4 linked regions of the Diceros bicornis minor genome follow. The protein of the gene in region 2 purifies or fractionates together with the protein of the main gene of each other region. This does not show direct contact. Links are inferred from orthologs where the notes say so. Each region holds a gene or a part of one and is shown on either strand. Other genes may lie near its edges.

Evidence for each region.
Region 1: the proteins of DNAJC7 (region 2) and PLD2 purify together in Homo sapiens (affinity purification with mass spectrometry; 3 studies listed by BioGRID and IntAct, counting the BioPlex papers as one, with this or other methods). This does not show direct contact. The link is inferred for Diceros bicornis minor from reciprocal best matches to the Homo sapiens genes DNAJC7 and PLD2.
Region 3: the proteins of DNAJC7 (region 2) and VPS13B purify together in Homo sapiens (co-immunoprecipitation; 3 studies listed by BioGRID and IntAct, counting the BioPlex papers as one, with this or other methods). This does not show direct contact. The link is inferred for Diceros bicornis minor from reciprocal best matches to the Homo sapiens genes DNAJC7 and VPS13B.
Region 4: the proteins of DNAJC7 (region 2) and MLF2 purify together in Homo sapiens (affinity purification with mass spectrometry; 3 studies listed by BioGRID and IntAct, with this or other methods). This does not show direct contact. The link is inferred for Diceros bicornis minor from reciprocal best matches to the Homo sapiens genes DNAJC7 and MLF2.

The regions. Positions count from the first base shown.
Region 1 is NC_080757.1:11,591,726-11,599,058, forward strand, and holds the start of PLD2 (phospholipase D2), read left to right. Parts: upstream 1-4,160; 5' UTR 4,161-4,219; intron 4,220-4,241; exon of another isoform or gene 4,242-4,569; intron 4,570-4,767; 5' UTR 4,768-4,768; coding exon 4,769-4,877; intron 4,878-4,962; coding exon 4,963-5,093; intron 5,094-5,195; coding exon 5,196-5,338; intron 5,339-5,772; coding exon 5,773-5,878; intron 5,879-5,971; coding exon 5,972-6,037; intron 6,038-6,177; coding exon 6,178-6,236; intron 6,237-6,372; coding exon 6,373-6,465; intron 6,466-6,556; coding exon 6,557-6,709; intron 6,710-7,187; coding exon 7,188-7,333.
Region 2 is NC_080757.1:41,231,735-41,239,764, forward strand, and holds the start of DNAJC7 (dnaJ homolog subfamily C member 7), read right to left. Parts: upstream 3,118-8,030; 5' UTR 3,089-3,117; coding exon 3,012-3,088; intron 1-3,011. Other genes in the region: NKIRAS2 (NF-kappa-B inhibitor-interacting Ras-like protein 2), read left to right, coding at 7,045-7,138, 7,555-7,796. UniProt on the Homo sapiens protein: Acts as a co-chaperone regulating the molecular chaperones HSP70 and HSP90 in folding of steroid receptors, such as the glucocorticoid receptor and the progesterone receptor.
Region 3 is NC_080760.1:17,756,846-17,764,692, reverse strand, and holds the start of VPS13B (intermembrane lipid transfer protein VPS13B), read right to left. Parts: upstream 3,174-7,847; 5' UTR 2,926-3,173; intron 2,886-2,925; exon of another isoform or gene 2,818-2,885; intron 2,451-2,817; 5' UTR 2,419-2,450; coding exon 2,272-2,418; intron 1-2,271. UniProt on the Homo sapiens protein: Mediates the transfer of lipids between membranes at organelle contact sites. Binds phosphatidylinositol 3-phosphate. Functions as a tethering factor in the slow endocytic recycling pathway, to assist traffic between early and recycling endosomes.
Region 4 is NC_080756.1:54,978,477-54,986,523, reverse strand, and holds the start of MLF2 (myeloid leukemia factor 2), read right to left. Parts: upstream 2,980-8,047; 5' UTR 2,890-2,979; coding exon of another isoform or gene 2,607-2,889; intron 2,262-2,606; 5' UTR 2,234-2,261; coding exon 2,184-2,233; intron 1,930-2,183; coding exon 1,803-1,929; intron 1,559-1,802; coding exon 1,523-1,558; intron 895-1,522; coding exon 841-894; intron 437-840; coding exon 308-436; intron 141-307; coding exon 1-140. Other genes in the region: PTMS (parathymosin), read left to right, coding at 2,607-2,889, 2,980-3,170.

The sequences.
Region 1 (7,333 bases), about 30 Mb from region 2:
ACATCCATTGCCAATCTTCCTCATTTTGCTGAGGAAGATTAGCCCTGAGCTAACATCTGTGCCAGTCTTCCCCTACTTTGTATATGGGATGCCGCCACAGCATGGCCTGATGAGCAGTCTGTGCCCAGGATCCAAACCTGCGAACCCCGGGCTGCCAAAGCAGAGCGCGAGAACTTAACCACGAGGCCGCTGATTCCGGCCCCACATGTTATCTCATTTAATCACATCAATGATCCTTTGAGGTAAGTATTATGACTATCCTCATTTTACAGATGAGTGATAAGAGGCACTTAGAGATTACGTAACTTGCCCAAGGTCACACAGACAGTTATCATCAGAGCAGGAACTCAACCCCACCCCCATCAGTAGACCCCAGCGTTCACTGTGTTTACTACCCCACTGAGCTTCCCAAGCATGTCCTTGGTAGGCATTGATGCCTTCAGCCAGGTCTGGGGGGTCCAGAGCACCCTAGCCAGGGATTCTAAATGCCCTCCGCTAAAGCTGTGCAAATGCTATATTATCATTCCCTATGGGTGTCGCGATGTGCGAAAGGTTGGGAAACACTGCTGATTATACTGTACTGCCTGACTCAGACAGAAATCTGGTTTTTTGTTGTTGTTGTTTTTCGTGTGTGTGTGTGTGTGTGTGTGTGTGTGAGGAAGATCAGCCCTGAGCTAACATCCATGCCAATCCTCCTCTTTTTGCTGAGGAAGACGGGCCTTGGGCTAACATCTGTGCCTGTCTTCCTCCACTTTATGTGGGACGCCGCCACACCATGGCCTGACAAGCTGTGCTTGGGTGTACCCCGGGGATCCCAACCAGGCCGCCAGCAGCGGAGTGCGCGCACTTAACCGCTACACCACAGGGGCTGGCTCCAATGATTTTTTGTTTTTAAATCAACTTTATTGAAGTAAAAATCCACATAGAATTTAATGCACACATCTTAGTGTACAGTTCAATGAGTTTTGGCAAGTGTATCACCACGCCCGTCAAGAGACAGGACATTTCTATCACCAAGTTCCCTGTGTGCTGCTTTACACTCAATCTTTTCCCCACCCCCTGCCACAGGCAACTACGGATCTGATTTCCATCAAAATAGATTGGTTTGGCCTGTTTCAGAACTTTATATAAATAGAGTCATTTAGTATTACTCTTTTGTGTCTGGCTTCTTTCAGCATAATGGTTTTGAAATTCATCCACGTTATTTGTACTAACAGTTTATTTGTTCATGTTTTTTGTAATAATAGCTTTATTGATATATCATTCACATAGCATAAAATTCACCCTTTTAAAGTATACAGTTCAGTGGTTTTTACTCTATTCACAGAGCTGTACAACCATCACAACTAATTTTATAACATTTTCATCATCCTCAAAAGAAACCCTGGGGCCCGCCCTGTGTCCTAGTGGTTAAAGTTTGGTGGGCTCTGCTTCGGCAGCCAGGGTTCGCTGGTTGGGATCTCGGGTGCGGACCTACACCACTGATCAGCCATGCTGTGGGGGTGACCCACATACAAAATAGAGGAAGATTGGCACAGATGTCAGCGCAGGGCCAGTCTTCCTCAAGCCAAAAAAAAGAGGAAGATTGGCAACAGATGTTAGCTCAGGGCCACTCTTCCTCAGCAAAAAAAAGAAACTCTGTACCCATTAGTAGTCACTCCCCTGTCCTCCCTCTCCCCAGCTATTGGCAACCATTCATCTACTTCCTTTCTGTATGGATTTATTTATTCCAGACATTTCACGTAAATGGAATCATACAATAAGAGGTCCTTTGTGTCTGGCTTCATTCACTTAGCATAATGTTTTCAAGGTTCATCCATGTTGTAGCATGTATCAGTACATCATTCCTTTCTATGGCTGAATAATCTTCCATTATAGGGCTATACTGCATTTTGTTTATCCATTCATCAGCTGATGGACATTTGGGTTGTGTCTACTTTTTGGCTATTTGAATAATACTATTATGGACATTCACGTACAAGCTTTTGTGTGAATGTATGTTTTCAATAGCCTTGGGTATGTACTTAGGAGTGGAATTGCTGGGCCTTATGGTAACTCTCCATTTAACATTTGAGAAACTGTTTTCCAAGGTGGCTGCACCATTATACACTTTATTCATTTTTATTGCTGAGTAATGGTCCATCTACCACAAATTCATCAAAATCAAAAACTTTTGGGGCTGGCCCGATGGTGTAGTGGTTAAGTTCATGCTCTCTGCTTTGGTAGCCTGGAGTTCACAGGTTCGGATCCCAGGCGCGGACTTGTGTACCACTCATCAAGCCATGCTGTGGCAGTGTCCCACAAACAAAATAGAGGAAGATTGGCACAGATGTCAGCTCAGGGCTAATCTTCCTCAGCAAAAAGAGGAAGATTGGCAATAGATGTCAGCTCAGGGCCAATCTTCCTCACCAAAAAAAAAAAATTTTGCTCTTCAAAAAGCACCATTATTTTAAAAAGACAAGCCATTATTATGGGAGAAAATATTCGCAATACATATATCTGATAAAGGATTTGTATCCAAAATATATAAAGAACTCATAATTCAATAAGACAAATAACATAGTTTCTGGGCCGGCCCCGTGGCTCAGCGGTTGAGTGCGCGTGCTCCGCTGCTGGCGGCCCGGTTCGGATCCCAGGTGCGCACCGACGCATCGCTTCTCCAGCCATGCTGAGGCCGCGTCCCACATAAAGCAACTTGAAGGATGTGCAGCTATGACATACAACAATCTGCTGGGGCTTTGGGGGGAAAAATAAATAAAATCTTTAAAAAAAAAGACAAATAACAGTTTCTAAAAAATTAGCAAAAGACTTGAACAGATACTTTACAGAAGATATACAAATGGCCAATAAGCACATGAAACATGGTCAACATCATTAATCATCAGAGAAATGCAAATAAAACTGCAATGATGTACTATTTTACACTTATTAGAATGGCTAACATTAAAAAGATTGACTATCGGGGCGGCCCCCTGCCTTAGCGGTTAAGTGCGCGGGCTCCACTGCTGGCTGACCCGGGTTCGGATCCTGGGTGCGCACCCACGCACCGCTTGTCCGGCCATGCTGAGGCCGCGTCCCACATACAGCAACTAGAAGGATGTGGAACTATGACATACAACTGTCTACTAGGGCTTTGGGGAGCAAAAAGGAGGAGGATTAGCATGGATGTTAGCTCAGGGCTGATCTTCCTCACACACACACAAAAAAGATTGACTATCAAATGTTGGCCATGCTGTGGAACAAGTGAAACTACCATACATTGATTTCGGAAATGTAAAACAAAACAACTATTTTGGAAAACAGTTTGGCAGTTTCTCATAAAGTTGAAATGCACTTATTACACGACCCAGCAACTCCACTCCCAACATATATCCACACAAAGACTTATACAGGAATGTTTGTTTGAGCTTTATTCACAATAGACAAAAACTAGAAACAACCCAAATGTCCATCATAAGAAGAGATAAAGAAATCTGCTTTAGGAAAAAAAAAAATATTTTGTCTTTTAGAACCTGAAAATTTTCGTGTTTCCCCCTCGACTGTAAGTTCCAGGAGACCAGTTCCGTGACTATCTTGTTCACTAATGTACGCGCAGCGTCCGGCAAGGAGCAAGTGCGCAATAAATGGTGAATGAATGAAAGAATGCAATCTTGCGTACATTAATGAATTTGTGGCCACCATCCCTTGGCCTTTTATCATTCCTTCCACCTGCAATCATCTAGGCCAGGCCCGATGTGATTCGCAGCCGGCCCGTGAAGGGGGCACCCGCAAGTCCCTGCCGCGGAGACGCATCCCGCCGGGAGCCCAGGCAGCGCCGGCGGCCGGAAAGGGCCTGGGGGCCGCATCGGAGCGGAGGAAAGTACGCAGCGTCGAGCGCCCAGAGGGCGGCGGCGGGCACGCTCGGACCAACGGCGCGAGACAGACGGACAGACCGCTGAGAGAGCCTGTCGGTGGCACGAAGCGGGCGCGCGGCGCCGCAGCACAAAAGGCGGCCCCCGGCCAAGGGCTGAGCGCAGGACGGCGGGGCGGGCCGAGGGCGGCGGGGCGGGACAGGACAGACGAGAATCCCGCGGAGGTGAGGCCGGGGGCTGTCCCGCCCCCGAGGGCAGGCCCTGAGCGCCGACCCCGCCCCGGCCCGCTGGGGTGTGGGCTCGGGCTCGGGCTCCGCTCGGCTCCCTCTGCTCGCGAACCCGCGCCGGCGCCGGCTGGGGCTGCCCGGGTGAGGGGACCCGGGAGGGGGCGCCGCGGAGGTCCCGGGCCCTGGGAATTGGGCGGGGACGGGAATGGACCCGGGCTGTGGCTCCTGATTCAGCCGCACGCTCAGATTTCGGGGTTTCACTCCCGGACGGGGAGCGCGTAACTTCCTCATTGCCGCCTGGACCCCTTCTCCTGGCCAGCCGGGCCTGGCTTGAGCCCCGGCAGCTCCGGGCCCCTTCGTCCTCCCGGGGCCCCTTCCCCTGCCTTCTGCTCTGCCCCAGTTCGGGGCCATCCGGGCCTGGCTGGGTGTTCTTCGGCGCCCTGGTTACTGGACGGGAGGCGGGGCTCAGGGATTCTGGATGAAGGACCCAGGTAGGGGATGGAGGTTAGAGGCGGCTTGGTAGTGCCTTGCAGACTGATGGGCCGTAATCAAAGAGACGTTGGGAGTTGGTGGGGTCCAGGTGGGTGGGGCAGAGGGGGACCTATGGGAGATGGAGGACCATGGGGGTAGGATGAGGGGCAGGGTTCTGCAGGGCAGATCACCTCCCTGAGGCCTCCCCGTATTTCTAGGATGATGACGACCCCCGTGACCCTCTTCCCCTCCGGGGACGACCTGGACTCCAGCCAGTTACAGATGGAGCCCGATGAAGTGGACACTCTGAGGGAGGGAGAGGACCCAGGTACACAGGGAGGACCGCCCTCAGGGAGAGGAGGAAGAGGGGGCTGAGACCTCCTGGGGTCTATACTCCTCCACTTTCTTCCCAGCTGACCGGATGCACCCCTTTCTGGCCATCTACGGCCTTCAGCCTCTGAAAATGCACCCCTTGGTGTTCGCCACTGGGGTCCCTGTCACAGCCCAGGTGGTGGGCACTGAAAGATACACCAGTGGATCCAAGGTAGCTGGGCTGGTGCCAGGGAGGGGGATAATGGGAGGGCTGGCCAGAGTAGGGGGCTGTGACCCAACCAGGGGACATCCATTCAGTTCTTCACACCCCCAGGTGGGAACCTGCACTCTGTATTCGGTCCGCTTGACTCATGGTGACTTTACCTGGACAACCAAGAAGAAATTCCGTCACTTCCAGGAGCTGCATCGGGACCTCCTGAGACACAAAGTCTTGATGAGTTTGCTGCCTCTGGCTCGGTGAGGGGGACCAAACTGCTTCCTGTGATGGGCAGGTTGCCCTCACCCTGTGGCAGCATGGGCTGTCACTGCCCCAGCCCCCATCACTCCTTCCTGCCTGTCTCACCCCTAGGCCACAATCTTCCCCACCCCAGGTACTGTCCTCCCCCAGCTCTGGCCACTGGGCCCCCTGCCCTGACCCCGGTTACCAGGAAACCTTCTCTGCTCAGCTCTCCCTGTCTGTGGTTCTGTGCCAGTATCTCAGCTGGGCTGCATGCCCAAAATGCCCGTGGCAGCCTCCCCTGTTTTCTTGTCTCCATTCTCAGAGTAGGGGGCCTTCCTTCTGTGAGCCTCTAGGCCTCCTCCCCTGTCCAAGACCCCATGTCCAGTGCTTCAGGAACCCAGGCACTCAGCCTCCCAGCTCTTTCTTAACCCTCACCCCATCCCTTCCACAGCTTTGCCGTTACCCATCCTCCAGCCCAAGAGGCAGGCAACAGAGAGATGCCCTCCCTTCCTCGAGCAGGTGCTGAAGGCTCTGCCAGACATGCATCCAGCAAACAGGTGTGACCAGACCTCAGGTCCTCTGCCAAGGCGTTTGGTGTGCAAACGGCTCTGGTCCCATCTCTCTCTCCCTGTCTCCCATCCCTACTTTAGAAATACCTGGAGAATTACCTCAACCGCCTCTTGACCATGTCTTTTTACCGCAACTACCATGCCATGGTAAGGTTCCGGGGCTGGATACCTGCGTCTTTTGAGGTGGAGCAGAATAATCAGACCCCCGAGGGGCAAAGGATTAGGGTCAGTAGGGTCTGAGGGGCTGAAAACCAGTCTTTCCTCTGAGCCTTTGTCTTCCTCTGCAGACAGAGTTCCTGGAAGTCAGTCAACTGTCCTTTATCCCGGACCTTGGATGCAAAGGACTGTGAGTGTCTGACACTCCTCACCCAGCCATCTGCAAACATCTGGATCTCTCCCTGCCTGAGAATGGGAAAAGCAGTGCAGGGTGCCCTGGGGGTCTGGATTCCTCAGCCAGCATCTCTTCCTGATTTTCCCCACAGGGAGGGGATGATCCGGAAGCGCTCGGGTGGCCACCGTGTTCCTGGCCTCACCTGCTGTGGCCGGGACCAAGTTTGTTACCGCTGGTCCAAGAGGTGAGGCCTGAAGTGGAATAGCTGGGCAGTGGGTGGAGTGAGGAAGGCGATCCGAGGGCAGGGAGGAACGGATGGAGCCCTTCTGCTCCAGGTGGCTGGTGGTGAAGGACTCCTTCCTGCTGTACCTGTGCCTCGAGACCGGCGCCATCTCATTTGTTCAGCTCTTTGACCCTGGCTTCAAGGTGCAGGTGGGGAAAAGGAGCACAGAGGCCCGGTATGGGGTCCGGATCGACACCTCCCACAGGTAAGGCCTCTCTGGCGTGGACAGACACCTAGTGAGCGAAGAGCCAGCTGAGGGCCCTCAGTGGGGTTGAGCAGAAGAGACCAGGGAAGAAAAGAAGGCATTGCCACCCGCCTGGAGCTGGCCATGCTTTGGAACCAGGGAACTAGTCTGGCCAGTTCCCTGCTTGGGACTGCTCTTAGAGTCTGGGCTTAGAGAAAGGGGGTTGAGTATAAGCTTGGAGGAGGGACTCTTGGTGTAAAAGAAAAGGAACTCCATTCATTAATTTATTCATTCAACAAACCTGAGTGCCTAGCACAATACTAGGTGCCTGGGACCCAACTGTGAATAAGGCAGATAATATGTCCTGTCCCTATGGAGTTGTGAATTAGGGACTAAGGGAGGAAATGGGAAAGAGGAGATGGCTAAAGTAGGGAGGTTTTTGAGCTGGGCCGGAGGCGTGGAGGGCGAGGATTGTGTCCATCTCATTGTTCCTGTCCAGGTCCCTGATTCTCAAGTGCAGCAGCTACCGGCAGGCGCGGTGGTGGGCCCAGGAGATCACTGAGCTGGCCCAGGGCCCGGGCAGAGACTTCCTGCAGCTGCACCGGCATGACAGCTATGCTCCACCCCGGCCTGGGACTTTGGCCC
Region 2 (8,030 bases):
TCAAAGTGGCAGGCAAAAAAATTGAAGTCCATTTCTTTTCTCTCTAGAGACACTAAAGCTAAGAAAATGAAACATGTAGCTATTTAAAATGCTGCAACCACGAGGTCCAGGGTCTTGCAAGCTTCTCTCATTTTGCCTCCTGTGGGACAGTAAAAATTTAGCAGCAGCAGCAGGATGTCCTTGAGCCAAGACACAAGGAAGGAAGGACTCCAGGCTGGACTTCACAAAAACAACCCAAGAGACCCATCAACTTCCGTGTCCCCAGATGAACTGGTAGTCGGACTGTAATGAGAGACAGAAACTTGGTCAAATGACTAACCAAGCCAGATACTAAAGGGCACTTGTAAAGGAGTTCCTATCCCTGCCCTTTGCTATGCCTACACAGGAGGATTCCAGGATATGTGTAAAATGTAAAACAACCTTCCTCCAAATCTTCTAAATCCCCACTCCACTTTCAGCACTGGAAATCCATAGGTAAACAAAGCTTTTTCTTAATAATGGATCTCAATGTTTACCCTCCTAAGGATGCCTTATATGGCAGAAAGTCAAACTGATTTTTTTTATTTCACTATATTTTCCTTTTGATTTGCTCACACCTAAGTGGTATATAATAAACATCTGTTTTATTATGTCTAAAAGATATCCGTATAAATATGTATAACATGTAAGTCTATTTGGTAAGAAAGCATTTTTTCAGTTAAATTTAATTATTTTTTCTTAGTGGTAGATTAAAAATTGTGCATTTTACAATGACATCTTAAATTCTATGAAATAAGGCAGTTAACATAAGTCAAGGGCCAGCCCCGTGGCTTAGCGGTTAAGTGCGCCCACTCCGCTACTGGCGGCCCGGGTTCGGATCCCGGGCGCGCACCGACGCACGGCTTCTCCGGCCATGCTGAGGCCATGTCCTACATACAGCAACTAGGAGGATGTGCAACTATGACATACAACTATCTACTGGGGCTTTGGGGAAAAAAAAAAGGAGGAAGATTGGCAATAGATGTTAGCTCCGGGCCAGTCTTCCTCAGCAAAAAGAGGAGGATTAGCATGGATGTTAGCTCAGGGCTGATCTTCCTCACAAAAAAAAAAACATAAGTCAACATCCTCTCCTATTTTGTTAAGATTTTATTTATTTTTTCCCCCTAAAGCCCCAGTAGGTAGTTGTATGTCATAGCTGCACATCCATTCTAGTTGCTGTATGTGGGACGCAGCCTCAAGCATGGCCGGAGAAGCGGTGCGTCGGTGCGCGCCCGGGATCCGGGCCCGGGGCCGCCAGCAGCAGAGCGCGCGCACTTAACCGCTAAGCCACAGGGCCGGCCCTCTCCTATTTTGTTAAACTGCTACCAAATACCATATGTTTTTGTATAACACGCTCACATTACAACATCACCTGTTTTACGTGTTTTAATCTATCTTTAGGCTCATTTACTACAGTTTTATGATAGAATACCCTCTAAGGCTGTAATTTTTTTTTTTTAAGGAAAAAGACTTACTTTAGATAGGAGGCTTTGAAATGAAACTGAAATTAGAGACAGTCCTACATCAGAGATTTACAATGATTACGATGAGTTTTTTTTAATTACATATAGCCCAAGTCTCTATTTATAGCACAAAGAACGACTAAACTCTTCCCAAAGTAGATCCTTACAATTAATTTAAACTGTGTTGAACTCTTTGTTTATTTTGCAGTTCCTTAACGATGCTGAGGATGCTTAATTCTAAATACCTGTAAAGAACTAGGAACAATGTGAAAACTCAATACTAAAAACACAGAGAGACTAGACTCTGACATCCTGACTTCTCTGACATCCCAGGGACCTACTACTACATGTTGTCAAGCCTCTCAGCTCCCAACAGGTCAGGAACTTGGAACACTGGCTGCAGTAACTACCCTTAAGCTGGATAACCATTCATTCTGCCTCACTGAGTACCTCTTACGTTTCTAACTTGGACAGTAAAAGATCTCAGAATCCTGATTTCAGTTCTCATGAACTAATTTACATCGCCACCTCAAATCACCCAGACTGAAGCCATAATGAGCTTGCTATAATGATACGAAATATGTGGGAAGGAGACTGAGGGAACTGTAGTCAACTAATCTGCAGTTGATAAAGAAAGGGCTCCAAATTTCCAGAACCTTTTCGTTAATTCTGCTTCAGGATTATGTCAAGTATGACTACCCACAACTGTGTTCCAACCCCACTTCCAACAACCTGCCTTAGCTGTAGCCAGAATCCAGAGCGTTCTCGAAAACCACTCACTCAGCAGCTCCCCTGGCTAGTCCGGACTGGCAAACTCGAGCCACTGCCGCTGCCCAGCAGTGCCAACAGCGCCCAAGGAGCTGCCCTCCTCCTTCCTGCTTAAGAAAGAACAGTCCTGGAAGAATGAAGATCTTAGGAAGGAGGATGGAGGAAAAGGAGTTTGACGTGTAGACATGAAACAAGCCCCTCACTCTTCCTTCTTTCTCTATCACCTCCGACTTCTGGGGTAACCGGGGGGCGGAGGGAGGACAAGGTCAATAATGGAGACATACAATCACCTCGGACCCAGACTAGGACTCGCTGGGGTATAAATACGGAAAAAAGGGGGTGAGGACAGCACAGGCTTTGGTGATGCAAAATGCTGACAGACAACAATGCACAGAAGTTAACAAGAGAAGGCGGGGGTCAGGGGCGATGTAAGGCAGTCGTCATTGTCGCCGCGCCGCCTCCCCCACCCCGCCACAGACCTCTGAGAGCTCCTCAGGGACCTGGCTTTTACAGTCAGGACGACCTTCTTCTCTGCTAGAGAACACAGCTGTGCCTCAACTCCCCGGCCAGGCGGAAGCGGGAAGGAGGGCCGACCTCCGAGAGCGCCCCTTCAGGGGGTCCATCCGGACTCGATCTCAAATGGGGGGGGCGCGGAGGGCGGGGCATCGCCTTCACAACTAGGGGCTGCATCATGGCAGGGACGGGTTTCCCGGAGCCACGGAGCAGAAGCTCGTCCCTTCCACTACCCTGTCACCCGGTTACCTCTTCGCGTCTTCGTCGTAGAGCAGCTCTGGCTCGGTCGCCGCCATTACCACATCGCACCCAGCGGCAGCCGCCATCTTACCGCCGGGACCAGAGAGCCGAGTGGGAGGCAGGCGGTGAAGAGCACTTCCGGTCGGAGCATCGAGCAGCTCGGCGGCGCTGCGCCCAGAGGGGCTCCCTCGAGCCCGTCTACCAGCGAGAGGCTCTACTTGGGGCCAGAGCGGCCTTCCGCCCCCGGAGGTCCACGGTGGTCTCCGCCCCGGGGCGGGGGCCCAGGCACGATTCCTGTGCGTAGGGGGCGCCACTGTACCCGTGGGTCGGAATAGGAGGGTCTAGCCTCTCTAGGTTTTGGCTTCCCTCAGTATTTCAAGAGCCTCGTTGCCATAGCAACCTCCAATCCTAGAGAGTCTCCTGTAACGCTCCGGAAAGCCTGAGCTGGGTGGGAACCCAGTGACCCAGGACTCTGGAGGGAACGAGCACCCTCGACTACCTTCCCGACCTTGGAGTGTGTCCACAGCTTCCTCCTGGGAAAGGCAAGAAGAGACACTTTGAGCCCGGTTCCCCAGCGTTCATCGGCCCCTGGAAGCCCTGCCCAACCAAGCCAGGGAAACGCAGGGCGTCTTCACCCCGCGCCTTTCATCCCCTCCGGATCTGCAAGCGTCAACTGGTTCATGACTCTAATGACGCTGACCCTTTTACGAGGCTGCTTTCGTGTCAGCCGGCTAGGAGTGCCATCTCAGCATTAAGGCTAGGGAGGGTGGCAAGCCCCAGACCCTGCCCTGGAGTTTATGAGGCAGCTCCCGGGGTGAGCTCCCTGCCCCAGTGTCCCCCGTACCCCCACCCCTCAGATAAACTCGCTGCTCAGCGCGCTTGTCTTGCCGAATGCAGTCTGGATTGGGAACTCAGAGGGCAAGGACGCTGCCTAATCGTTTTTGTAGTACTTCCCTCACCCAAAGCAATATTTGTGGACCTGAATTAAATTGGGGTTTTCTGAGGTTAAATTGGGGGAATTTGAGGTTAAAATTTTTAAGCTAAGGAAAACTAAAATAAGAAGGGGGCGTGGGCACTTAAAAAGGATCTACTCTGTTCCTCCAGTAAAATAGTGTGTGCCCTTGTCCATAGGCTACTTGTATGGTCACTGCCTATCACAGTGCTAAGGGAGGGGAATCCACACCCATGCCTGAGTAGGGGAGGATGGGAGAGGCTCAGTGGGTTGGAAGAGAGGTCATCCATCCAGCTAATCATTCAATAGCCCTCCCAAAGTGCCCACTCTCCCTGCTTTAATTGGGAGGGCACAGACTCACAGACCACCTGCCCTGCCTGCCAATGGCTCCCAGTCCACAGCCTCATGCGGGAGGCAGTCTTGCACCATCTTCCCACTTTGTGTTCCCTGCATCTATGCCAACTCATCTACTCTCACAGCTTTAACTTGATCTGTCGTTGACTCTCAGCTCTGTTGATATCTCCAACCTAGACCTCTCTTCTGAGTTCCAGATTTGTATATTCAACTATCTACCGGATATCTCTTGGATGTTTCACAAATCCTCAAGGCTTAACATATTTTTTTATTTTTTGGTGAGGAAGATTAGCCCTGAGCTAACATCTGTTGCCAATCCTCCTCTTTTTCTTGAGGAAGAGTGGCCCTGAGCTAAGAGCTGTGCTATCTCCGTCTATTTATATGTGGGACACCTGCCACAGCATGGCTTGATAAGCGGTGCATAGGTCCATGCCCGGGATCTGAACCCGCAAACTCTGGGCTGCCAAAGCGGAGCTCGTGAACTTAACCACCACTTGGCCGGCCCCAAGCTTAACATATTTAAATTGAATTTGTCATTCTCTCCCCACCCCTCAACAACTGAAAAACAAATGCTGTACTTGATTCTCTTTTCCTGAATTCCCTATCTTGTTGAACGGGTCACCATTCACCTGGTCACCAAGTGAGAAAGATGGGAAACATCATGAACTCCTCCGTCTCACTCCTGACTCCTAACTTACCACCAAGTCTTGTTGATTCTCCTACCAAATGTCTCCCAAATCTATCACCTTTCCATCCCATTTCAGGTTCCCGTCATTTTTTAAAAACTTGGAATACTACCAAAATCTCCTAACTGGCCCCCAGTCTCATTTCTCTCCAATCTTCAGTCTTCTGCCAAAATGACCTTCTTAACAGCAAAAATTGATCGTATCACTTCACTAGCATAAAACCTATCAATGGCTTTCCACTGCTGTTAGGATACAGTTTGAGCTTTTTGGCCTACCACCCAAGATTATTTGGCTCCTTTCTACCATTAGTATTGAACTCAAGTACTTGTAGTTCCAGAAAATGCCATGACTCTTGCCATGCTTTCTCCACCCTTTCCTCCCAAGCCCTTTAAACCTCAACACAGACATGACCTACTCCAGGAAGCTCTCCATGATGCCCACTGCCTCCAAGTTAAATGCCCCTTTGCTGTGCTCCCATAGCTCCTCTGTGATAGTTCTTGCCATACTGTACTGTAATTGTTGGTTTAGATGTCTGGCTTCTCTAGACGGTGACATTCTCATGGGCAGCTACAGTGTATAATTCGTCTGCTTTTTCTCAGCTCTTGGTCCTGTACCTGACACAGAGTAGGTGCTCAGAAGACATCTGATGAATAAACGATTGAATAAATGAAGTGTTACTGAACTATGGTAGCCTTTAGGGAAAGAACATTTGGTCATCAGACCCACCGGACCAACAGCCCGCGTCCGGGGAGCTGGAATCATATGCGCTCAACCAGCCCAGGTCCTGGCCGTCCTTTCCCCCGCCGGCGTCTGGGGGCGCTGTGAGGGCCGTGCCCGCTCTCCGCCGCCGGAATTCGTCTTGCCGGACGAAAGCTAGGGGGCGGGGCCCGCAGAGCCTGGCTCGACCCGGAAGAACGGAGGCCTTGCGGCCGTGCTGCCTTGCCTGCGGTCCCTGCGTTCCTCGAGGGGCCCGGCCGGGGTGCTGCGAGGGCCCCGGGAGGTACGGAGCTGGCAGGCCAGGGTCAGCTACCGTGTCTGGCCGCTTTAGGTGGCAAGTTTCTGCGGCCTCTGACTCCCTCTGGGGGTCCCATCGTGGGGAATCTGGCGGAGGCCCCTCTGGCTTTCTCATGGGTATCCCTTATTCCGGGGCTCACTACATACATGGGGCTCCTCGGGGGGGAGTGGGGAGGAGGGTCCGACTCAGGAGTTTCCGCTGGAGAGGTTTCTGTTTGAGACCCCTTTTGAGTGTGATCTCTGTATTTCTGCTCCCTGGGGGACTCTGGGGCTTCTTCTGGGAAGCCTGTGTTTAGGATGCTTTCGAGGAAGTCTCTGGGGCCTCTTCGGAGAAGGAATTTCTGTGTCTGAGGCTTCTCATCTGGGTCTGTCAGTCTAAGGGTAGACTTACCCTTAGGAGGGTAAGGAGGAGACAAAAAATTGTCTCCTTTTCGAAGCCTTTTTCCCTTAGATTTCTTCACTCCTGTCTTTCTTGTCTGATGTTCTTCATCTTAGCCATGGACTTGACTGGGAATTAGAGGTCATTGATTGTCGCCTAGATAAGTCATACAGGAAAGCAGAATATCCTCCTTATTTGCTCATTTTCCCCAGGAAGAGTGGCTTAAGACAGATCCACACAAAATAGTATTCCTGCTTATTTTTCTGTGGGGTGGTGGTTAAAGAGAGGAAGCTGAGCCAGAGCTCCCTTCAGCAACTGGTCCTCCACATCCTGTGCACAGAGAAGAACATGACCAGTGGTTCCTTTAAACCAGCGACCCTCTACTCTCTTTATGGCAACATATACTGAGCACTTGCTCTCTGCCAGTTCCTGGCCAGATACTGGGAATAACAAAGATCAGTAACGTACAGCTGCCTGTCTGGTAGTGGACACAGACACATCACTTCAATACACCCTGACTAGAGTAGGGGTCAGTGCTGAATCCCTAAGGCTATGCATTCAGTTCAGAACTTGGGCTCTCAATTATAGGAGGTCTGCCCTTTGTTTTGATCCCACCTCACCCAGTGTGCTTCTGTTCTTCAAGGTTGAAGGCTAAGCATGGGGAAGAGCTGCAAGGTGGTCGTGTGTGGCCAGGCATCTGTGGGCAAAACTTCGATCCTGGAGCAGCTTCTGTATGGGAACCATGTAGTGGGTGAGTGTTGTTGCAGGCGGGGAAACAGTGGAAGAATTTGAAGAATAAGGAGTAGGATTTGATCACAACACACAAAGGCTAAAAGCTGCTCCTGGTGGTTATTGCACCCGAAAGAGGAACATGTACATTTTAACCCGCAACCCTACAACACTGAAGAAATCTGGAGGAAGGAAACTCAATATCCTGGATGGGGAGGAAAAGCTCCCAAGTTACCCTTTTGCTTAGGATGGTATGAGCATGAGATTAATATCTTCCCCCGAATCATTCCAGTCCTGCCAGACTCGGTCTCTGGCCCCCTCTCCCCAGCCCCCACATTTCTTTCTCTCCCTGTCTGGTCAGCCTGTCAGGATATACCCAGTCACCCATGTTTCCCATCTCCCTCCTCCCTGCAAACAAGTTTTCTCATTTTATCCCAGGTTCTGAGATGATCGAGACGCAGGAGGACATCTACGTGGGCTCCATTGAGACCGACCGGGGGGTGCGGGAGCAGGTGCGTTTCTACGACACCCGGGGGCTCCGAGATGGGGCTGAGCTGCCCCGGCACTGCTTTTCCTGCACTGATGGCTACGTCCTGGTCTACAGCACAGATAGCCGAGAGTCCTTTCAGCGTGTGGAGTTGCTCAAGAAGGAAATCGACAAATCCAAAGATAAGAAGGAGGTGTGTGTGGGAGCCCTGGTGGTGGGAGAGAGTGGGCCCTGAGCTGCCTTGGGGAGGCTCGGCTTGGCTCTATTTTTCATTCATTTCCCAAGAGGTGGGTTAGCAGCTAGAGGGGGGATGGAGGCCACTGGAGGGTGGCTTCACCCCTAGAGGTGGCCACATGTTGAGGCAGCTCAGCCAAAGAGACTTTTCAGTTTAAGAGGTCCCTGATCTAATGCATGAGCCCCCATTAGT
Region 3 (7,847 bases), on a different chromosome or scaffold from region 2:
CAATAGGTACGACAATCTTGAAGGAAAAAAGAACAAAGTTGTACAAATTACACTATGAGATATCAAGACTTACCGTAAAAGACATTATGGTAGTGACACAAGAATAGACAGACCACTGATGAGATTAAGAGTTCAGAAACAAATACACACACATATGACAACCTGATTTACAATAAAGACTTGCTGCAATGCAGTAGGGAAATGGTTCAACAAATGGTGTGGATCAACTGAGTATCAATGGAAAAAGTGAATCTTGACCTCTACTTCACACGTGCAGAAAAATTAATTTTAGATGAATCAGAGAATACAATAAAGCCTCAAAGAAAATATAGGAGAATATCTTCATGTCCTTGGAGTAAGCAAAGATTTCTTAAACAAGATATGAAAAGCACTAACCATAAAGGAAAAGATTGATAAATTGGTCCTCAATAAAATGATGACCTTCTTTTCATCAAAAGGCACTTTTAAGAAAGTGAAAAGACAAGCCACAGACTAGGGGAAGATATTGCAAAACATTATCTGGCAAAGGACTCATTTCCAAAATATATAAAGAACTCGGACACATCAATAAGAAAAAGACAGAAAATCCAATTTAAAAAAAAAAAGGCAAAAGAATTAGAGACTTTACAAAAGTGGATATCCAAATAGCCAATAAGCAGCACATGAAAAGGGGCTCAACATCATTAGTCATTAGGGAAATGCAATTTTAAATTACAATGAGATACCACTACACACCCACCCAAAAGGCTAAAATTAAAATAACAAACATACCAAGAAATAGGAAAAATGTGAAGTAACTGGAACTCTCAAACACAGCTGGTAAGAATGTAAATTGGTACAACCACTCGGGAAAACTATTTGCCAGCATCCATTAAAGCTAAACAAATGCCTACCTCCTAGGTATACACCTAAGGGAAATTAATACCTATGTCCACCAAAATACATGTACAAGAATGTTCATAAGAGCTTTCTTCATGATAGCCAAAAGTAGAAACAATCCAAATGTACATCAATAGGCAAAGAAATAACTAAATTGTGAACCTTTATACAATGGAATACTACTAGGCAATACAAAGAACTACCCCTCATCCAACATGGGTTAATCTTAGCCATAATGTTAAAAGAAAGAAGCCAGACACAAGTGATTCCAATTTAGTTAAGGTTCAAGAACACGTAAAACTTATCTATGTTGATAGAAGTCAGACTAGCAGTCACCTGTTTTAGGGGTGAGGCACTGATTACAACGGGGCACACGGGAGCCATTTGCGGTGCAGGAAATATTCTGTTTCTTGATCTGGATAGTGGTTACACAGGTGTATCCATATGTAAAAATTGAGCTGTATACTTAGGATTTGTGCTCATTTAAAAAAATAAAACATTAAGATAATTAACCTTGGAGAGAGAAAGGGGAAGGAGCCAAGAGTATTAAGTCTCTGTCCAATTCATATAGGTGTTATCTCACTATGAAAGCTGGGCACAGTGTTAACTCTAGATTATTCAATAAAGGAAGCAGTGGAATATAACTAAAAATTACTGCTAACTATCACCATCAGATTAAGTCTTCCTTTATCTCCTAAAAAGCAGTTGGTCTCTTACTCTTCTGAGTTTCCACAGATAATTTTTGTATCTTCAAGCCGTAAAGTTGCCTGACATGTTAGTAATAAATGTACTAAGTGAATTAATAATAAGTATATGAACTTTGAAGCTACAGTTCATTTGCATCAGACCATTCTCACATTAAAAGAAAGAAAAGGAACTAAAAAGAAGTGATTAAGAAAAAAGTTTTCAATCTTGTTGGCATTCTCAATCTGTGTCTACTCAGCACTTAGGACGCCATTGGTAATGCCATCTTTCCTACTACGAGACACAACTTTCCTCAAGATCTGACCTTGCTGTCTTTCAGACTCTTCTGTTCCCCAAAAAGGAGAACGGGAATGTACTATTTCCCAGCATAATACAGAATCTTAGCAATGTAAACTGGCATATTAGGTAAATCTTAAGAATTGAGTAAATAGGCTGAACAATTCTGACAACAGCAGCAACGAAATTGTTTTTCCATCTGTTGAGACAACTTTTGGGAACCTGATTCTAACAAACTAGCAACAAACCACAAAAAAAAATTCTGTAAAGGAAGGTCTCTAGTTTCAGGGTAGCCCAAAATACGTTAGCAGAAAAATTAAGTTTTTAAAGCATAAAGTACAGCGTAGGAAACAACGGCTTACTTCTAAACAAGCTGAAAATGTTTCCAATCAATGACACTACACAGCTTACCTGTTCCAGCACATCCAACTTTAACTCGAGCTTGCTGAGAACCACGTCTCCACCCCATAGTGAAAGCTGCAGATCTGATGGCTTTAAGTTCTTGATGTAGCGATTCACATAGCTCATTAAAATTGGAGTAACATATGACTCCAGCATCTTTTAACGTGCAGAGGAGTCGAAGTCAGAAGCTGAAGGGGGTAAAGATAGAAATATTAGAAGTAACTGAGTCGGTGGTGAAGCGAAGGAAAAAACATATCTCTGGAGAGGCTGAAGAGGCCGAAAAGCAACAGTCCCCACCAAAGCGGCCGCTCGCCTCCTCCCACACAAGCAGAGAAAACTCAAGTGGATTCTCGGCTCCAGATGCAACTTTCTCATTGGTACAACTCCCCTCAACTCGCCTGGCTACGAGTGGGAGGAAGAGGTGGTGACCTGAAGACAGCGGGCCCCCCCGGAGTGGGAGAACGAAGTGAGCGGGCTCCCCTTTGGTCACCGCACCCCTTCCCCAGCCCAGCCGCCCCACGAGGCCCTCGCCTCCCGGATCCCAGCCGGATCTACCACCGTAAAGCCAGAAGCAGAAGCAGGCCGGCTCCCGCCCCGCGCCGTACCGCACCCTCGGCTGACGCTCACGCCAGAGCACCATGGCGTCCCCTCCACCTCCCGTACCTGGCAGCCGCCCCCAGCAGCGGCGCAGCTCCTCTACGGAGCCACTTCCGGGTGTGCCTCACTCGGTGCTCAAAACAAACTGTCCCTCCACCGCCACCACTCGACTCCACAGGAGGACCGGAGTTCTCTGGCTGGAGAAGCCACTCAGGGCCCCTTCTAGGAGGAGAGCTCTTACGTTCGGCTAGCCTGCGTCTCCTCTCGACCCCACCAGTGGTTACGACAAAGCTCTAGGAAGTGCCCCGAGGAGGTGGGCGGACCGCTCAACTGGAGACACCGCAGATCCGGAAGTGGCGCTCCGAGAAGAGAGTGGCTGTGGGTCGTGGAAGGTCGAGTCCGGGGGAAAGCACGCAGGGCCGCAGGTCCAATGAGGAAGAAGAAAGCACGTCCTAGTATTTAAAACCCTGAGAAACAAGTAGTAATTGTTTCCCTTGCGAAATGGAAGGCCTGGGAGTTGCAACTTGGGTTCAGTGGGCAGGGCAATAGCAATAAGGCCGCAGGTAGGAGAAGCCAGGGGTGGGGGCGGGGGGCAGACTTAAATTTAGATCTGAGGTTCGTTTGCTGGAAGAAGGGTGGATGTGAAAAGAGAAATTGAAGGGATTAGCATGTGTGATTTAGGGGACTGCGTTTTGACCAAACGTGTGGACAAGCTCTCGCGTTCTTCTACTTTGGCGAAGCAATGGTTAAGTATTCCCAAGTTTGCTGATGCGGGGCGGGGAAGGCCTGGTCAGAGAAGATTGTGGAGAACCATTGGAGCACAGTCTGATATGGGACTTCAGAAAAGCGGCGCGTCTATCAGAAGAAAATGAGACTCCTAGAGACAAAGTGAGAAATAGCTGATAAGGAATGAATTTAGAGTTTTAAGAGAAAGTGTTGGCTTTATTAGGCTGAAATTAATGTATAAATTATTTCCTTCTTGTAACTTGCAACCTAAGTCAAGAAATTCAAACACCTAACTCGGAAAAATATACAGCTTAAAGAGCTTCTGAAGAAAACACCTACTACTGCATTTTGAAAATAGACTTTCCTTATAAAGTTATTAAAATATCCATGTTGTCAGTTGCATTTAATTGAAAATACTTCATGAGTAAATTCCTAAAGCTCTTTCCTGGAATTCAAGTCATGATTTCTTGAAAGTTTTAGAAACTGCAATAGAAAAGAAGCATAAGTGAGGATGCCAAGATGTTTAGATTTATTTTGTTAATGAAAATAATAACTAAATTTCCCCCAAAAAAGAGAGAAGCAGCTAATTGCTAGTTCAGAGCAACTGTCCCGTCACAAAAGTCTTAATGAATAACCCAAGTAATTTGGGTATTATTAAGACCTACTAAATTGGCCAAGTAAATTAAGTAATTTCTTAGTTATCTGCTTCACCTGAAAGGCAAACAGATTGAAGCTACCTTTTATAGCAGGAAGTGTTATTTTAGCTATCACATAGGTAGATAGATAATAGACATGAGCTGAACTTAATCTATTCAACTTGGTTACTTCAGAAACATTAAAATTGTAACTTGATTTACTCATTACATTATCATTGTTTGATTAAATTGTCAAATTTTATTAATTAAATTGTAAAATATAACTTGCCTAGACAATCAGTGAGTTATTCATTGAATACTCTTTACATGTTACACCTCATTTTTTTGTGTATGTGTGAGGAAGATTGTTCCTGAGCTAACCATCTGTGCCAATCTTCCTCTACTTTGTATGTGGGACACTGCCACAGCATGGCTTGATGAGTGGTGTGTAGGTCTGTGCCCTGGATCCAAACCGGCAAAACCTGGGCTGTCGAAGCGGAGTGCACGAAGTTCACCATGCCACTGGGCCGGCCCCATACCTCGTTTCTTTTATAACAAAAGGTATGGCAAGATGAGGAGGCTCAGACATGGAAAGGTTAAGTGAAGGTTAAGTTAACGTTAAGTGTGACCTATGGTCACAGCTAATCAACCCAACACTTATGACTTCAAGTCTCCATTTTTCCCCTTTTGAGAAGGAAAAAAAAAGAAACAGAAAAAAAACCATTAATTACTATAATAATAGAACAACAAAGGAAGTTATCTGGGTTTAGAGTAATACACATACTGGAGCTGCCCCAAACACTTCTGACTAGCTTCCTAAATAGTTACAGCACATAAAGGTTTTATTTTTTGCTGAGGAAGATTCGCCCTGAGGTAACATCTGTTATCAGTCCTCTTTTTTTCCTTGAGGAGTAGCCCTGAGCTAACATCTATGCCAATCTTTCTTTATTTTGTATGTGGGTCACCACCCCAGCATGGCTGACAAGTGGCATAGGTCCGCGCCCAGGATCCAAACCCGTGAACCCAGGCAGCTGAAGCAGAGCGCATCAAACCCAACTACTATGCCATGGGGCCAGCCCCTAAAGATTTTTAATGTAGTGTCAGAGTTAACTGTAAACAAGTCTCTGTCCAAGTCATATAGGTGTTATCTCACTATGAAAGCTGGGCACAGTATAGCTGATAAGTCCAATTGGTAGGAAATCAATAATAATCATGGTTGCTACATTTTATGCTAATATTTAAATATGTTAGTTTCATATTCTGAATTTATTCATTAACTCAAAGACATTTTTTGAATTCCCACTATGTAGTATACACCATGCTAGGCACTGAGGCGTGCCTGCATGGAAGAAGCTCAGTTTCATTGGAATCACAGATATAAATGACTAAAATATTATACGATTAAGTGAAATATGTACAAAGTGCTGTAGGACGTGAAAAAATCATGTAGAACTATGTGAGAAAATCAGTCAAGGCTTAAGAGGAGAGTTATCAGCTACAGATAATTTTTTAATGTTACCTCCTATTAAAGAAGTAGTATTACTCTCCAGAGTGTCAGAGACTAGAACTAGGCAGGGTTCGACTTCTATCCAACTGCAAAACAATGTACTTTTTCCACTGACCTAAGTCTTTCAAAGAAAATCAGGAACTCCTTGTTTGTAATACTCACTAAAATAAATGGATGCTACCACAAGTGGAATGGCCTAGTTTAAGACCCTGAGGACAGAAACAGTCCTACAAACATCTACTAGATCAAAATAAATTGAAGGGATAGGCAGGTATACCAATGGGGCTGAATAAAGAGCCCAGAAATAAACCTCCTCATTTATGGAATCTTGATATATGACAAAAGTAGCACTACAAACCAAAGGGAAAGGGTTTGCATATATCGATAATTGGTACTGGGACAATTACTATCCATGTGGAAGAAAATTAAAATTAGATTCCTACCTAAGACCTAAGAGTGAAGTCCAAGTTTTATGGAGCCTGATATTTATAATTTGGGGATACCCATTTAAGAAAAACAAAACATTTTACTTTTGCAAAATTGTATAAAAATATACAACACATTACTTGGGCTTCTCCCAGGGCCTTAGAAATGGCTTGTGAAAGTAATGGTCTCTGAAGCTTAAGCTTCGTTAGGTTCATGGTGAATGTATCTATGCTCACAACAAACACAAAAATAAACCCCAGATGGATTAAAAACTAAATGTGAAAAGGAAAATTTTTTAATTTATAGGAGAAAAATTGTTATTCCTCAGAGAGGAAGGATTTTTTAAATAAGACAAAAATACTTAAAGAAGACAAACTATAAAGGAAAAGCTTAAGAAGTTTTATACATGAAAATCAAAGCAGTTGTTTATCAAAGAACATGTTAAAGTAGGTTACAAGCCACAGGCTGGGTGAAGATACTCGCAATATATATTAGTTAACAAAAGATTAGAATACAGATTTTATAATGAACTATAAATTAATGAATTAAAGACAATCCAATAGAAAAATGGGCAATTCATAAAAGAGGAAACCCAAATGTCTAATAATCACAAGAAAACATATTCAACTTTGCTAATATTTAGGGGAATGAAATTTAAAACAACAGTGACTTGCTATTTCATGTCCATCAGATTAACAGCATTTTTGATGTCTGATGTCAATGATATGGAATGACTGGAACTAATACACTGCTAGTGAAAACTCCACATGGAGAGGAATTTAAGAATATCCAGCATAGTTGAAGATGCATATACTCTAGCAATTCCACTTGTAGGGTATAGAGAAAGTCTTGCATATGTGCACAAAGAGACATGTTTAACAATATTTTGCAGCATTGTTTGTAGTAGTAAAACAGTAGAAACAATTGAAATATCAACAGGAAAAATGGTTAAACTGTAGTATATTCATATAATGAAATATTATATAGTAGTGAAAATGAATGAGTTAGAACTATGACTTTCAAATATTTTACCTACAGTTAGAAATATAGTTTATACCATGACTCAATATGCATATATATGTATAGAGAACCCTCACAAAACTATACTTAGATTGAGTACATGTGATACATCCTGTTTTCTCTGTTATTCTATTTCTTTATTTTTTGTAAAGTAGTTTACGACCTACCAAATTGATACTGTGAGCTACTAATGGTTTGCAACTCACAGTCTGAAAAAACACTAAACAAAGTTACACATTTATCAACATTAAAAAATCTGAAAAATATAACATTGAGGAAAAATAACAGAGTATAGCATATCGTAGTATGTATACATACACATATATATATATGTATGTATACACACAGTCATGCATTACTTAATAACAGGGATACATTCTGAGAAATGTGTCGTTAGGTGACTTCGTTGTTGTGTGAACATCATAGACTGTACCTACACAAACCTAGATGGTAGAGCCTACTACACACCTAGGCTATATGGTACTAATCTTACAAGACCACTGTCATATATGTGGTCCATTGTTGACCAAAACATCATTATGCAGCACGTGACAGTACATACCTATGGCATTCAAAGAAATGCTATATATTGTGATGGCCACATATATATTTAGAAATAGTATTAAATACTTTCATGACAAAGATAAACACCAAATTCAGGATAGTAATTACCT
Region 4 (8,047 bases), on a different chromosome or scaffold from region 2:
TCCTGCCGCTCCTCCTGGTCCCCTGTGCGGTGGTTTCGCGAGCGCTGGAGGATGTGAGCTCGGTCTCGGATGTGATGCCCAATGGACATCTGCTCTAGTCCGCTGTCTGAGTCCCGAACAGTCCTCCGAGTCTCCCGGATCTGAGGTGAGGCAGAACACAGCACACTCAGCTGCCCCTTCCAAAGCCCTGGCTGTGCCAGCCCAGGACAGACAAACCACCCACAACCCAATCCTGAAAAACAAAGCCAGGGTTTCTGTGGGTGCTGTTCAACCCCACCTTCTCTGGCCTAGAAGCCCTTCCACTCACCCCGCCTGGTGCTGAGCGCATCTCTGATGTCTCTTGGTAGACCTTGGGGGCACCATCACCAGTATTGGAGTAGGAGATGACAGTGGAGGATGAAAAGGTCTGGCAGTTGCCTCCAGCCGTCATGTGTTCCTGGGGAGGAAAGGGTACAGCAGGACTGAATGGGGAGGGGTTCCCCTCTGGAGAAGGGACCCCACACTTCAGCTGCCTATTCTTGCCCGTATCTTTCTCACAAAATTTGAGAACTGAGAAAACATCAAGACTCATCATTACCCCCAAATACCTCTGAGTCCACAATAAACAAGAAGGATCTTAAGAGATTGAGCCTTAACTGCATACTTAATAAGAGTGCTGCTGCTGCTTCACTCAGGCACGAGAGCACATACAGGAACCCAGTGCTCTCTGGGTTCAATTCCTTTACCCCGCTTGAACCCTTCACTAGCACACTCTTTCCCTCTCCTGCCTCAGAGGACTCAAGGTGTTGCCGGCCAGAGCTGAGAGCAGGGCCTGGAAAAGGTATGGGGCAAGAGTCTCACCATGTTCCCAATCATGTCGTTCATCATCCCAAACATGTCCATGAAGCCACCTGACTAGAGAGAGAGATGGAGAACAGTCAGGAAAGCAAAGTCAGCGTTCAGCTTATCTTGTTCAGGGACCCACTAGCTACGTGGCTGCATATTCCCTTTCTCTTCTTCCTTTACATCTAGCAACTGCTCTTTCTCATTCTTGGAGAACATGACCAGAACACTGCATGCTTATCTGCATGTTTCTCTTCTCCATACTGCCGCCCTCCTCCTCAGTCTTTGCGGCTGCTCGGATCCAATTTCCCTTCTCCTGACTGCCCTATTTCCCCCTATCTTTAGGAAGCAAGCCAAAGTTAATGGATTCTAACCTATAAAGGCATGAAATTGTAAAAAAAAAAGACTTCTAAAAATCATCTCAAGTTGGCCCTTCAACTTCACCTCCCTCCTCAAAAGAACAAACTTTGCTAGACAATTACATTTTCCTAATGGATATGGTTCCTAGAAGTATAAGAGTCAATAAGTTAGCATCTTTAACTCACAGGTCTTAGCACCCAGCAGGCCCAGAGCTCTGTGAACACTATAAAAAGATTCTAGGGTTACCCACAAGGCTATTTCAGAGAGGCACATTTGGAAATAACATCTAAGGGTATAGAGTATGTCTGAGATGGAAAGATATGAGGAGATGAGGACTCACCATTCCCAGCATCCCAAAGGGGGAGACAGCCCCAGCCTACAGGAACAGGTAAGGAACAGGAATTAGAGACCTCATCCTATCTTATTACAGTCCCAAACCAAGCCCACGGCTTCAGCTGTCTTTCTGTCCTCCTCTCACAAAGCCCTTTTCCCAGACCCTTTCCCCACTTCTAGAAGATCATTCCACTTGCTAAGTTGGCTGCAGTACAAGACAAATCAAGCGCTTTATTAACCACCCTCCAGCCTGTCTTTGGGTCTCAGGCATATCGCAGCACCATTACCTGCATCCTGCGGCTGGTAGGCCTGGTCCCTGGCATGTTGCCATCTGTGATGCTGAGGAAGGGGCTATATCCAAAGCCACCTGACAACATGCGGTTCATATGCTGACGGTGAATAGCAAAGGGGTCCCTGTGGAGTGAGTATACAGTATGGATGGTAGAAGGACCAAGTAATCAACACCCCGCTCACCCCCAAAAAAGAAAACAGTAGTAGAGAAACAATGGCACAGATGTCTGTATCCTCTTTAAGTCCGGGCTGGAGCTGAGTATCCAGCCAGTTCCAATCAGGGCCAGCAATGGGAACCCAGATGTCTGTCTGAATTACTCAGAGCCCTGAAGTGGAGTGGGATGAGTGCTCTAGAGCATGAGGGGGGGAGTACTTACATCAGGAACATGGGATCCTCAGGCTCCACGTCCCTCATGAAGCGGAACATCCTGATTTTAGCTCCAGGGGGCTCCACACTGTAAAGATGTGAAGGCTCAAATACTTGGAGGCGGCCAGGCTTTTTGCACACCGGCTCAGAGTAGGGACTCTCAGAACACTGTCCCTTCCCTATACTGTAACTGACCCCCTAAACTCCAGTAAGACCCTTCTCCAGGTGTTCACCACCACCCTCTAGGGAGAGAAGAGCTCTTCAAATCCCTCTCTCAAGGAGGGCCATGGAAAATTTTTTCAAGCCTCTCAGTTTTCTGCCTCCCCACTCAGAGCCATCCTCTTCCCGAAGCCCTAGGCCAGAAGCATACTGCCCCTCCCCTGACGCCACTGCTCCGGATGCGAATCCCCAATGCTGGCCCTCCGCCCCATTAATGACCCCAACCACCCCGCCCCCTCCTTACACCAGCCGCTCCCAGGCCTCCCCCGGGCGGGCCTCACTATCCCCACCGCGCCTGCCGGCGGCTCCCCCGACCCCTGCCTTCGCCGGGCGCACAGGAGAGGCAGGCCTGACCCTCTCCCCTCCCGGCATCCCGGGCTCCCAGACCCTGCAGCCCTGCAGGCCCGCTCCCGTCCGGACCCGGCTGCCCGCTCTGCTCCAGGCTCACCGGTCCCCGATTCGGGCTCAGCGGCCCATCCGGCTGGTCTCGCCTCTCGGTGCACTGCAGGATCGGAGGGCTGCGGCCCGGTACGCCGGATTGGTCCTGTCGTGAGCTCCTCGGCCTCCCGCGCCGCCTCCTCCCACAGCTGCCACCTCCGTCCCCCCCCTCGGCCCACGGAGCCCGAAGCACGGCCAGGCCCGGACGGAAGTGACGTCACGATGGGACAGCCCCCCCCCCCGGGGGGGGCCGGGCCGCGGAGCTCCGCCTCCTGGTGGGCGTGGGGAGAAGGCGAGGGCGCGCTCCCGGGGCGCGGGGCCGCTGATCCGGGGCCGCGGGGTTCGCTGGAGACGAGGGGAGGGGAAGCCTCGTTAGTAACCTGGATTTGGGTTCTGTGGACAGGAAGAGGCTCCCTGTAAGGGTGTGGGGGAGGAGCAGAGGCGTGGACTCCTCGGGCGGGCCGGGGCGGGGGAGGAGGGAGGGCGGTGCGGCACGTTCCCTTGGGGGAAGGAAGAGGACCCGGGGCAGATTCCCATGGGGGAGGGGCGGGCTCCCTGTGGGCGAGGAAGTGGGGCGGATCCCTACGGGGAGCTTAAAGCAGATTTTCTACCGGAGAAGCGCTCAGCCCGGGGAGGAGGAAGGGCGGCAATTTTGCGGGGGAGGTGCATTCTAGGCAGGGCGGGGTCCTCGGAGTGACGTAGAGGAGGAGGTGACAGTTCTGCCCAGGTCTAGCTCTGGCTGCGAGAACTCGGGATAGGGCAAGGAGAATCCAGTGGGGGGGGGGGGGGGGTACTGGCCGCCAGATGGCGCTCTTCGGCCAGGCTGGAACTCTAGCCCCTTGGGAACTGGCTTGGGAGAGGCTCCTGGAACCCTCAGTTACCCTGCTGTGAAGGGTCGGCCAGGGGAAAGGCTCTAGTTCTGAAATCCTTTAGTTTAGTGCCAGTCTCCCCTTTATTTTCTCTAACTCCTGTGTCCTCAAGAGCTCCCAGTCCTGCGCTGATCTTACTTGCCTCTAGTCAGGTAGGTAGGTCAAGGGTCTGAAGTTTGAGAGAAGAAGAAAGGGTGGAGAGCTCCATTAACCCGTATCACCCAGGGGCGGAGGTGAAAACAGACCCAGGAGACCTGACTCCAAGGCCAAAGACTGATACTTTGACATACTAAATGTCTTGCATAAAATCTGGCCCAGCTGGAGAGAAGGGCCTTCCTCCTGGGTGTCAGGGGATTTGGACTAAGATGGACTTTAAACCAGACTCATCCAACCTTTAGCTCTCTCTGGTTCTTTACTCTGGCTGCTAGCCATATTTATGTTCTGTGGAGCCTTACAATGAGAAAGACTTGTTCCCAATACTTCCCTGGGGGAGAAGGAGGAGGGGGTCTCTGGTGACTCAGGTGGGAGCAGGGCTTCTCAGGTTTCTTTGGAGATAGGGGAACAGAGACAGATAATTTAGAAACTGGCAGACTGGCAAAGCCAAAGAAAGACAAAGAATAAAAGAAAATTTGTTTTTCATTGATATTTTTGGGGAAAAGACGCAGTAAAGTCTTTCTGATTTATCTTCCAGATGCTCTGTCTCTGGAGATCCCACCATGCAAGTGCCCCTTTTTCTCTTGCCCCAAACAAAAGCAGTTTGACATGTGATCAAGTTACGCCAGTGAGAGTTCTACAGCCCAGGCTTAACTGTTAAGTGGAAGCTCAAGTTCCAGCTTCTCTCTTCTCATTCCATCATGTCCATCCTTCAACAGAACTGGACATACAACTTAGCTTCTAGCCTCCTCCTTTTTTTCTTTTTCCATTAGCTGGTATCCTCTACCTACTGCCTTTAGGTGCCTAAAGCCCTTTCTCTTCTTTCTTCCAAAACTTAAGACTCTGATATCAGCCATTTTTACCTTTGCATGATTTTAAATCAATGTATTACCTCTCCTAGGAATATTTACAAATTACAACTTAGCTTTCTAACTCTGAGACAAAACTCCAAACCTGGGCTTTGTCTCAGGTTAAAAAGAAATCCTTGAACAGGTGGGAATGAAGGAGGAGATGCAAGAGCTCATTGTCAGAGTCCTCAAGGACTTACCATATAGGCGGCCATCTACTCCAGGAATTGAAGGGATGTAATCATTCTGTTCCCCCAGAACCAGAGTTTGTGTCTGTCTTCCTTCTCCATTGCCCTCCCTTGTCTTTCCTTCCTCCCACCTTCTCTTTCTCCTTCCTTCCTTCCTTTCATCTCTGTCCTTCCTTTCTCCCTCCCTGCCTTTCTCTTTTCCTCCTTCCTTCCTTCCTTCCTTCCTCCCTCCCTCCCTCCCTCCCTCCCTCCCATCTCTGTCCAATGAACTCTGATGAACAGAAATTCCTCAGTCACTGGAATGTCCTGTAGATGATAAGATGTAGGAGAGAGAGTGGGCCCTGCCAGGGCTGAAGCTTAACACAAGGAGGATAAAGATTGTTGGGAAGGAAGAGAAACAAAGTGGTTCCTATATTCACTGCTCTATCTGATGGAGCCAAAGTCAGGAAGTCCTTGAGAGAGCAGAGCTGGGCCAGAAAAGGGGCCCTCTTTGGATGGGAGGTCTGGAGCAGTCCCAGGGCAGTTGGATACTGGAACAGAGTGAGGATGGGGCAGTGATGTGGGAGTTAGAAGAGACTGGATTTCCTACCTGAGCCAAAGTGAATGGGTGTGACTGAGTGTATGTGTGTATGTATATGTGCATATGGATTGGGGGAGGAAGAAACACCCTGAAAATTAGCACGGAGGTGCCTCAGGTAGAATGAGTGGGTTGTACAGTGGACACCAGATCAGAGTGAGTAACTCAGGAGAATTTTTTAAAAATAAGCTTTTCAGTTTGTTTTTATATCCACATCAACTCAACAAATATTTATTGAATTAGTACTTACTATGTGTCGGGTACTGTTCCTGGCTCTGGAGATATAGTAATGATATAGACAAAAATAAAGCGAGGTAGAAGGGGGAAAGAGGAACAGGCAAGCAGCTAGGAGGTGGTAGTTGCTTTTTAGGGTGACTAGGGAAGGCCATACTGATAAGGTGACATTTAAACAGAGACCTTAACAAGGTGAGGGATAGCTGGGGTGAGAGCATTCTGGGCAGAGGTATAGCAAGTGCAAAGGTCCTGAGTCAGAACTATGCTTAGTGTGTTCAAGGGCCAACAGAGAAGCCAGTGTGCCTAGACTGATATGAATGACAGAAGAGCAGTAGTAGAAGACAAGGTCAGAGAAAGAAGGAAACCAGATCATGTGGGACTTTGTAAGACCTACAAAAGGATCACTCTGGCTGTTGTATGGAGAAGAGAGTATTGGGGACAACAGCAGAAACAGACCTATTAGCGTGCTGTTGCCATAATCCAGATGAGACATGACGGTGGCTTAGAGTAGGTTAGAAACAGTGGAGGTGATGAGAAGTGGTCAGATTCTAGGTATGGTCTGAAGATGGAGCTAACAGAATTTGTTGATGGATGGATGCAGTATCAGGGAGAAGAGTCAAGAATGACTCCAAGGTTTTTTTGACCTGGGCAACTGAATGAGAAATAAATGACCATTTGGCTTGCCACACTGTACTGAGTACATATAGGTACTGGTTTGAGAATATATTGAAACTGTGTCTGGCTGGAAGATCCTGACCACGTGGCTACACAGGATAACTGACCCAGACAGTCTTACCTTTAGAAGCTAGCCACCTAAAATAGGAGGAGATGTGAATAACAGGAATAATAAGTGAATTCCATACCTAGTTTTACCATAAGATATTAGATGTTAGTTAGACCATCCTGGGTAGATATGCTAATGTTAATGGTTGGCATTAGCATTGGAGTTTTAAGTTGGAAGAACTTCCTGTTGTCCTTTGATCATTTCAAGAAGACATCCTGAAGGAGGCAGGATGTCTCATGATTAACATGGACGTGCAGGATTGAAGTTTGTGCCACCTGTGCGGTAGTTCATGTCAATAAATATTTATTGAGCTCCTACTGTGCACTCGGCATAGTGCTAGGTGCTGGGGATGAAAAGACAAGTAAGACATGGTCTCTGCCCAAGAGGGTTCACAGCCTAGTGAGGGTGCCCAAATGGAATCCATTATAATCCTGTGATGAAGGCCACAATAGAAAGATGTATGTTAAAAGGGCAAAAGTGTTCAGAAGACGGAGTGAGTGATTTGGGGCGGGGGGGGGGGGGGGGGGGGAGGCAGAGCCGGAGAGCATTCCAGGCAGAAAATGGGATCAATACAAGGGCACAGAGGTATGCCCCATTTGGGAAGAACTATGAGGAGTGAAAAAAAAACTGCTGAAGTGGCCAGCCCAGTGGCGTAGTGGTTAAATTTACGTGCTCCGCTTCAGCGGCCTGGGGTTTGCAGCTTCATATCCTGGGTGCAGGCCATGCTGTGGTCATCCCACATACAAAATAGAGGAGGATGGGCACAGATGTTAGCTCAGGGCGAATCTTCCTCAGCAAAAAGAGGAAGATTGGCAACAGACCTTAGCTCAGGGCCAATCTTCCTCACTAAAAAAAACACAAAACACTGCTGAAGCAAAACTTTTGAGGGAACAGTGGTAAGAGATAAGGCTACAGAGGTTAAAAGGGAACAGACCTTGAAGGGCCCTCTTTGCTTCTGGACTTTATCCTATAGGCCTGAGGAGGCTATCAGAAGGTTTTATGTAGGGAAATTACAAGTGTCTCTTTGCATTTTAGGTAGAAAGGCAGTTTATGCATTTCAGGAAACATGTTTGAGCTTCTACAATGTACCAAGTAGGGAGGTAGGTGCTGAAGATACAAAAATTCTTAAATCATGATTGAAAACCCTAATTAATTAAGCTTAAAGTCAGGGAGTGATGGTGACCCCTGGAGCAAAGGCAGGACTGGGTTTGGAGAGAAGAGGAGGCACTCAAGGAATCTTCGAAAAGTGAAATGTGAAAGCTCTAGGCAAGGAGAGCAAAGGTGGGTCTCGGATGACTCCTTGGCATGAGTGAACGGGTGGAGGACAGTACCTTTAACTGAAATAGAAAACGAGGGAACCTCTCTTGGAACATGTGGGGTTCGAAGAGCTATGGAGGACCTAGGGAGTGATGAACAGAAGGGCACTGGAGTCGTGACTCGAGCTCAGGCGAGAAGTCGGCGCTGGAGATAGAGGTTTGAGAGTCGTCAGTGTTTGAGGCGCGTGTGGCAGTGGGACTTAAATCCATGGAAGTGCGTGATGGACTCGCTTAGGGAGGCTGTGAAG